Linked DNA regions of Macaca mulatta. The protein of the gene in region 1 purifies or fractionates together with the protein of each later gene. This does not show direct contact. Links are inferred from orthologs where the notes say so. Each region holds a gene or a part of one and is shown on either strand. Other genes may lie near its edges.

Region 1 (3,787 bases):
GAACAGGTTCGCTCCCTTTATCTCTCAGCCAAGGAAGACAATCATGCCCCGCATCTGAAGCAAAAGGTAAGAGAGAAGAAAAGAACGCTAATTGTGTGGGATTAGGATTCTGGCTTTAAGGAAAGCAGACCTTCCCAGGGCAAAAAAAAGCTCTAGCTACTTCCTATCAGTGTATTTGGGTTTTATTTAGGGAGCCCTGTGATATCTTTCTTCTGTTGTTTTCAGACATTATGTTTTTCCATAATAACTTCTTAATTCAGTTCTTCAGCACTAGGATTGTTTTAATATACTTTAATAAATAAGAATTTCCTGGAAATGATTATAGGAAGTTGAATAGAAAGAACAAACCTAGGCCGGGCGCGGTGGCTCACGCCTGTAATCCCAGCACTTTGGGAGGCCGAGGCGGGTGGATCACGAGGTCAGGAGATCGAGACCATCCTGGCTAACACGGTGAAACTCCGTCTCTACTAAAAATACAAAAAATTAGCCGGACGTGGTGGCGGGCGCCTGTAGTCCCAGCTACTCGGGAGGCTGAGGCAGGAGAATGGCGTGAATCTGGGAGGTGGAGCTTGCAGTGAGCCGAGATTGCACCACTGCACTCCAGTCTGGGAGACATAGCGAGACTCCGTCTCAAAAAAAAAAAAAAAGAACAAACCTAAAATAACAGGCATACTTCTCTATGCAACTAACTTTCCTGGAGGAATGTCAAATTAAAGTTAATTGACTCCAAAATAAATGTAAAATTTAGTAGTTCTATTTTTTAAAAATGCCAGTAATAAATCTAGGTCTTCTTCTAGGAATATTCTATATGTTTCTCTCTGTTTCATCAGCATAAAATATTTTTATGAAAAATATCAAAATATTTTAAAATCAAGGAAATTGTTTTTAATTTGAAAGAGTAGTTTTAAATACTCTGAAAGTTTAAAATATCATTTACTAGCTCTCTGGTTTGGGTCAAGTCATGTTACTTCACTGTGCCTTATTTCCTCACTGGTAAAATGGATATGATTATTATGAGATTTTAGTGTCTAATATATAAAGTGCATTGAAGAGTACCTGGCATGCAGTAATAATAAGTGTTAGAAATTATCCTTATGAATTGAATTTAAAGCAGCCTTAAAGGCTGATTATCATTATACTTCAGAAATTTATTGGGCTTTGGGGGTGCTTTCGATAATTTTTTAAGCAGCTGTAATGTTAATATTGACACATCTCGAAAGAATTCATAGAGCAAACACATGTCACTGCTTCTTTGCCAGCCATTCTAAAGAAGTCTATCCCGGAGCCAGCCCTAGGTTAGGTACAAGTGAGACCATAGACATACCAGCTCTTCACAAGCTATAAGGTGCTTTGCTGCTGCTTCCTGAGGTTTGTCACATAGTTCCACTCAAGGCCTGTTGGATCTGGGAAAGAAGACTAGGTTTTGTTTTGTGGTTGTTATGTTTTGTTTATGTTTTCATTTTTGCTGATGTAAGCATTTAATAGAATAGTTATTTAAAACATCTATGTTTTTTAAGCTCACCTGAAGTGATGGTTCTCTTTTGGATTGTGTTGCTTTATTTTTTAGGATAAGCTTCCTGATAACCAGTATCAGGAAAAGACAGCAATGGACCTGGCAGCTGAGCAACTACGCCTTTGGCCTACCCTGAGCAAGTTAACTCAGCAAGAGCTAGTGCAACATGAGGAAAGCACTGTCTTTAGTCAGGCCATTCACTTTGCAAACCTCATGGTGAACCTGCTAGTTCCACTCGACACAAGTAAAAACAAGCTCCTAAGAACATCAGCACCAGGTGACTGGGAGAGCGGAAGCAACAGCATTGTCACAAACAGGTACCGAAATGTGAACACACAGACCCTCCTCCTACTCTTCTTGGGACCAGTCTTGGCTTGACAGATAATATTAAACATTTTGAGCAAATACTGCTCAAATTTTAACATATTTGATTATTAACATATTGACATATTTCAAAAGTTAACCATTAACATATTTCAAAAGTTAACCATTTTTTCCTCACCTTTGGACTTTTTCAGCTTTTCTCTCTAAAAGATTCACTTCATCCTACTATTCTTAACCACTTTCCACACTCTCTTCTTTTTTATGACCTAATTTTTCCAAATGTCTCACCCATTACTGATCCAGCCCTTTAGTTACTGTCTGCCAAAGCAATTTACAGAAATCATTCCAGAGAAATTAGTGAGCACCTTCTTGCAAAAGTGACTGTTTGTTTCTCAGCCCTCCTTTTCCTCAACCTTATAGTCATATCCTCAACCATGCCTTCCGTGTCTCTACCCTCCAGTGACTTCTCATACCACTGAAACTAAAACCCAAATGGGTTGCAGTTTACTCAGAGAGTGATAAATCCTGGCAAGAGAAAGGTTCATAGGACAGTTTGGTCCTTACATACCGAAGAATATGCCTGTTGCTGAGAAAAATTCTCTTACTTTGCCTACCAGGAAACATGTTCCTCAGTTGCCAAATTGCCAAAGATAGCCATATTACTTGGTCTCTATGTAATAATTAACTTGGGAGGACAGGTTGCTTTAGAAGGCCCAGGTAGTCCATAATAAACGAGAGAATCCTCTTTTGCTTTATTTTCTGTGGTTCCTGGGTTCCTTTTGGGAGAGTGACAAAAGGTATTCCTTACAGAAACAAATCTGGGTCCAAAGGATAATACCTGACAGTAGTTTCCAAATGTAGACAAGTAGAACGTTGTGTTTTATCACCATGACTTACTAAGAAGCCATGGAGTTAAGTGAGCCTTCTACTTGAGTAGACATCTCTTTGATCATATTTCATTTGCTATGTAAATTGACTACTATATAGTAGTCATTTGTTGCATTTGAGTACTGACCATGATTTCTTTCCTTGACTGTCTTAGTATTGCAGGAAGTGTAGCTGAGAGCTATGATACAGAGAGTGGGTTTGAAGATTCAGAGAATAATGACATTGCCAATTCTGTTGTGCGATTCATTACCCGATTTATTGACAAAGTTTGTACAGAGAGTGGAGTTACTCAGGATCACATCAAGAGCCTTCATTGCATGATACCAGGTAATCACTTTGCAGATATTAGAGAATCAGAATATTGGAGATTATTGAGTTTCAGCATAAAACCTGGCAATACGTGTCTTCCATATAGTTCAGCCATGCTATTTATTTATTTTCTGATTAGTTTTTAAAATGTTTTTAAATTGTTGTGAAATACATATATAACATAAAACAATCTAAGTGTACAATTCAGTGGCATTAATTACATTTACAATGTTGTGCAGCCATCACTATTATCTATTTCTAAAACTTTTTTATTACCCCAAACACTCTACCCATTAAGCAATAACTCCTGTTTCCCCATCCTGCAGCCCCTGGTAGCTTCTAATGTATTTTCTGTCTCTATAAAGTGCCTGTTCTAGATATTTCACATAAGTGGACTTAGATGCTATTTGTACTTTCGGGTTTGATTTATTTCACTTAGCATAGTGTTTTTAAGGTTCATACGTGTTGTGGCATGTATCAGAATTTCATTCCTTTTTATGGCTGAGTAATTTTCCATGGTATAGCTGTCCCACATTTTATCCATTCATCTGTTGATGGACATTTGAGTTGTTTCTCCCTCCCTTTTAGCTATTATAAATAATAATACATGAATATCCACATACAAGTATCTATTTGAGTCCTTACTTTCATTTCTTTGGGGTATATATGTAGAAGTGGAACTGCTGGGTCATAATGGTAATTCTCTTTAACTTTTTTGAGGAACCACTAAACTTTAATTAACTTTTAATTCTA
Region 2 (3,787 bases), on another chromosome or scaffold:
CCTTCACTTCTGCTCTGAATACTGTAATTAATAATGAGGAAGCTGTGGTCCTGTAAGAGGATGTGTCTTGCCAAAGATCATGGAGTTAGCTGGTGACAGAAGCAGGACTCATGTCCAGGCCTCCTGTCTGCTAGCCCACTATGTTTCACTGTGCGTAACTACATTGGCCAGGATGCTTCTGGTTGCAGGTGACAGAAACCACCGTTCAATCTAGCTTAAGCCAAATGAGATGTCCTGGCTCACAGAACTGCTCCAGATAGGAGGAGAGATGGCCACAGGCACAGTTGAGGCCAGGATTGCAAACGGTGTTGTCGGGACTCCCCATCTCTCTCTCTGTCTTTTTTCCCCTCACTTTTTAATCCCTGTGAGTTCCTTAAGATGGTAGGGGTGGGGTGGGGTGGGGTGGGAAGTGGCCTCCAGCAGCTCTGGATGCAGATCCATGTATTTCAGGATCCAAGAGGAAAGCCTGGGATTGGCTGGTCCTAGGTAACTCACCTACAAGTGGGAGCAGGTGGAGGAAGGGGTCAGCCTTCTTCTCCACTTTCCCCCACAGAAGCCTATGATGTGGGGAAGGGCAGTTCCCCAAGGTAAAGAGGAGGGTCCTTATCAGAAGAAGGGGGAAGGCATGCTGGGCAGGTGGTAATAACAGGTCACACTCACGCTCAGCAGTTGGGTTTCTGCAGTTTCTTCCTGTGTTTGCAACTGGTGGGTGCCGACAGAAAAAGGCATTATGACAGGCAAAGTATGATATACGCGGGAATGAAAGTGACTTAACCTTTAAGAAGGAAACAAATTTCTCTCTTTTCCCTCCTTCTCCCCCTCAGGTCGAAATTGTGGTATATAGATTCCTGGCATGTGATAGGAGTTTCTGCTCGTTCAGTATTTTCAACCACACAGATAACCTCTGGTGTGTTTTGATCAGAGACTGCAATTTGGATCACTAGCACAGAACTTCCATTTTCTTTGTTTTACTCTTTGGGTCATTTTCCATATTGCCTGGGGATTCCAGGTGTTTCTGTCCTTCAGATACATGAGTGTGGGTTTAATCAGTGATGTGATTTTTTTAAAAGGCCTGAAACATTCTTTACAGTGAAAGCTACTTGCAAGGTAAACTTTTGTCAGTATTCTTAGCCTTCTAGCTTGATTTCTTAGTATTTTGCCAAATTGTGAGAGGAACCCGGCCTCTGGGGGCAATTGTTAAATCTCTCACTGCCTAGTTGGCTTATGTGGTCTTTTAGGTCAGGTGAGTACAGCCTGACCACTTGCCAGTCATGTGACCTGGGGCAAAACTGGGCCTTAATTTTTTCATCTGTAAAATGGGTCACTGTGAGGCTGGGCAAGGCTACATGTGTGAAAATGCTTTGATGCCTCAGAGCTCTGTGGGAGTGAAAGATGACATTTTCTTTGCATTGCTGTGTTTTCATATAAAGCGGTTGGCTCGCATCTGTGCTGCTGGCTTCACTGCAGTGAGTCAGTCACTATTCGTTGTTCCATGTCCTGTTGAGGACAGCTACTTTCTCACAGGGCATGTCACCTCTGTGCCTCAATTTTCTCTCCTCAAAGACAAGTTGGCTAGTCCCTGTTCTGCCTTCTCATCACACCATGGTTGTGAGGCTCTGATATAATAAAAACCATTTGTGCTTGTAATCCCAGCACTTTGGGAGGCCAAGGCAGGCGGATCACCTGAGGTCAGGAGTTCGAGACCAGCCTGGCCAACACGGTGAAAACCCATATCTACTAAAAAATACAAAAATTAGCCAGGCATGATGGCACACGCCTGTAATCCCAGCTACTAGGGAGGCCGAGGCAGGAGAATTGCTTGAACCCGGAAGGGCGAAGGTTGCAGTGGGCCAAGATCGTGCCACTGCACTCCAGCCTGGGTGACAGAGCAAGACTCTGTCTCAAAAAAAAAAAAAAAAGAAAAGAAATAAAAAATAAAAACCATTTGTAAGTTGTCAAAGCACTTACAGAAGTGTAAGGTATTGTTAATACTACACAGAGAATATCATTTTTCTAGGCTGTAATTTATAAATCTCATGATTTTCTTCTGAGTCACTTTACTTCACTCAAAAGTATACTATTTTCTAGATTTAAAACTACCAACATGAAATTAATTGAATGTTTGAAAAGCCTATGCTGTAAGATAAATATTTCACATATTTCTCCCGGGTGGGTGCGGTGGCTCATGCCTGTAATCCTAGCACTTTGGGAGGCTAAGGCGGGTGGATCACTTGAGCCAGGAATTCAAGACTAGCCTGGGAAACATGGCAAAACCCTGTCTACACACACACACACACACACACACACACAAACACACACGCCGGGCATGGTGGCATGTGCCTGTAGTCCTAGCTACATGGGAGGCTGAGGTGGGAGGATCTCTTGAACGTGGAAGGTTGCAGTGAGCCGAGATTGCGCCACTGCACTCCAGCCTGGGCGACAGAGTGAGACCCCATCTCAAAAAAAAAAAAAAAAAGGATTTCTTCTGTATAATTTTAATAGAGTAAAATTCCATTAAATGGTAGAGAATAGTAAGCTTAACTAACACCTAGAATCTTCAACTTTTTTTGAGAAAATTGGGTGATTCATTTAAAATTAACCTGGAACCTAATCTTATTTCCTAGTTGTCAGTTGCTATTTCAGTTCTTAGATTAAATGTAAAGGTAACCAAAGAGTCTAGTTAGTTCATCTAAAAAAAGAAGTATTATCATATTCCTATTCAGTGCTAGTTTTTTCACTGAGATCCTATGATATAATGTTTTGTAATCCATGCTATTTTTTTTTAGTCCTACAGGGTCACATGTTGAATGGTGTAAACAGCTTATAGCTGCTACAATTTCTAGTCAGATTTCAGGTTCAGTGACATCAGAAAATGTATCCAGAGATTACAAGGTAAGCAACATTGAGTGCTTAATTCATTTTCAGTATGCTAAGTAGCCAAGAAGCTTTGCAGTTTTAATTCAAGTGAACCGTTGGCCCTTTGATGCAACACGGCCATTTGCTCGAGAATAAGGACGAAAGGTTCTCTGTTGTTAGATCTAAAATGTAGAAGAGAAATTTTACCAGTATCCAGTACATATAGTTTTGTAATTGAGAGGAGAAGCTGTCTTTAGATGACGATGATTCTTTTAAAAATCAAGTTCCATTTTATAATAATAAATGCATATAGCTTCTTTGTTAGTATTGTGAGTTTCAGAAAATATCTTGATGTACAATACTTCCCTAACTTCACAATTTTTTAATGTATTATCTGTGAGTATTCAGCATTAACATGTGATACTAGAATGAATAAAAACCTTTCCAAAATCTCAAAAGAGTATTGTATGGGCAGCCTCATTTTTCAGTCCTTACTGAAGTGAAAATCTTTTTGTTTATTTTAAAAGTTAGATTCTCTGCTTATTCTAAATTGAAGTGATAAGCTCCTTGTCAGCAGAGACTAGGGCAGTTTTACTCACCACTGGCTTCCCAGGCGCAATCCTGGAGCATAATGGTTGCTCAATAAATATTGAATCAATTAACAAACCAAAAAAAATCGCTTGCTCCATCTTTGTTAAGGCTAAAGACTAACTTTGTTTTAACGTCAGTAAACTATTAATAGGTACATTAAATGAAATCACATTTATATTTCAGTAGTGATGTTTGCCTAAATTGAGGTTTCTGTTTATTAGTAGCCATTTTTGCCTGCTAGTAAGAGATGATTGATTTTTCACAAGTGTGTGTAAAATGCATTTGATATCCCAGACTACCATTAGTTAACAGTCTCTCAAAATCATGGTCCTTGCCAGAT

The links. Proteins that work in one complex are often made in the same cells at the same time.
Region 2: the proteins of SBF2 (region 1) and MTMR1 purify together in Homo sapiens (affinity purification with mass spectrometry; 3 studies listed by BioGRID and IntAct, with this or other methods). This does not show direct contact. The link is inferred for Macaca mulatta from reciprocal best matches to the Homo sapiens genes SBF2 and MTMR1.

What each region holds. Positions count from the first base shown.
Region 1 is NC_133419.1:55,672,713-55,676,499, forward strand, and holds part of SBF2 (myotubularin-related protein 13), read left to right. Parts: coding exon 1-66; intron 67-1,567; coding exon 1,568-1,830; intron 1,831-2,879; coding exon 2,880-3,052; intron 3,053-3,787. UniProt on the Homo sapiens protein: Guanine nucleotide exchange factor (GEF) which activates RAB21 and possibly RAB28. Promotes the exchange of GDP to GTP, converting inactive GDP-bound Rab proteins into their active GTP-bound form.
Region 2 is NC_133426.1:156,943,663-156,947,449, forward strand, and holds part of MTMR1 (phosphatidylinositol-3-phosphate phosphatase MTMR1), read left to right. Parts: intron 1-2,786; coding exon 2,787-2,892; intron 2,893-3,787. UniProt on the Homo sapiens protein: Lipid phosphatase that specifically dephosphorylates the D-3 position of phosphatidylinositol 3-phosphate, generating phosphatidylinositol. Could also dephosphorylate phosphatidylinositol 3,5-bisphosphate to produce phosphatidylinositol 5-phosphate.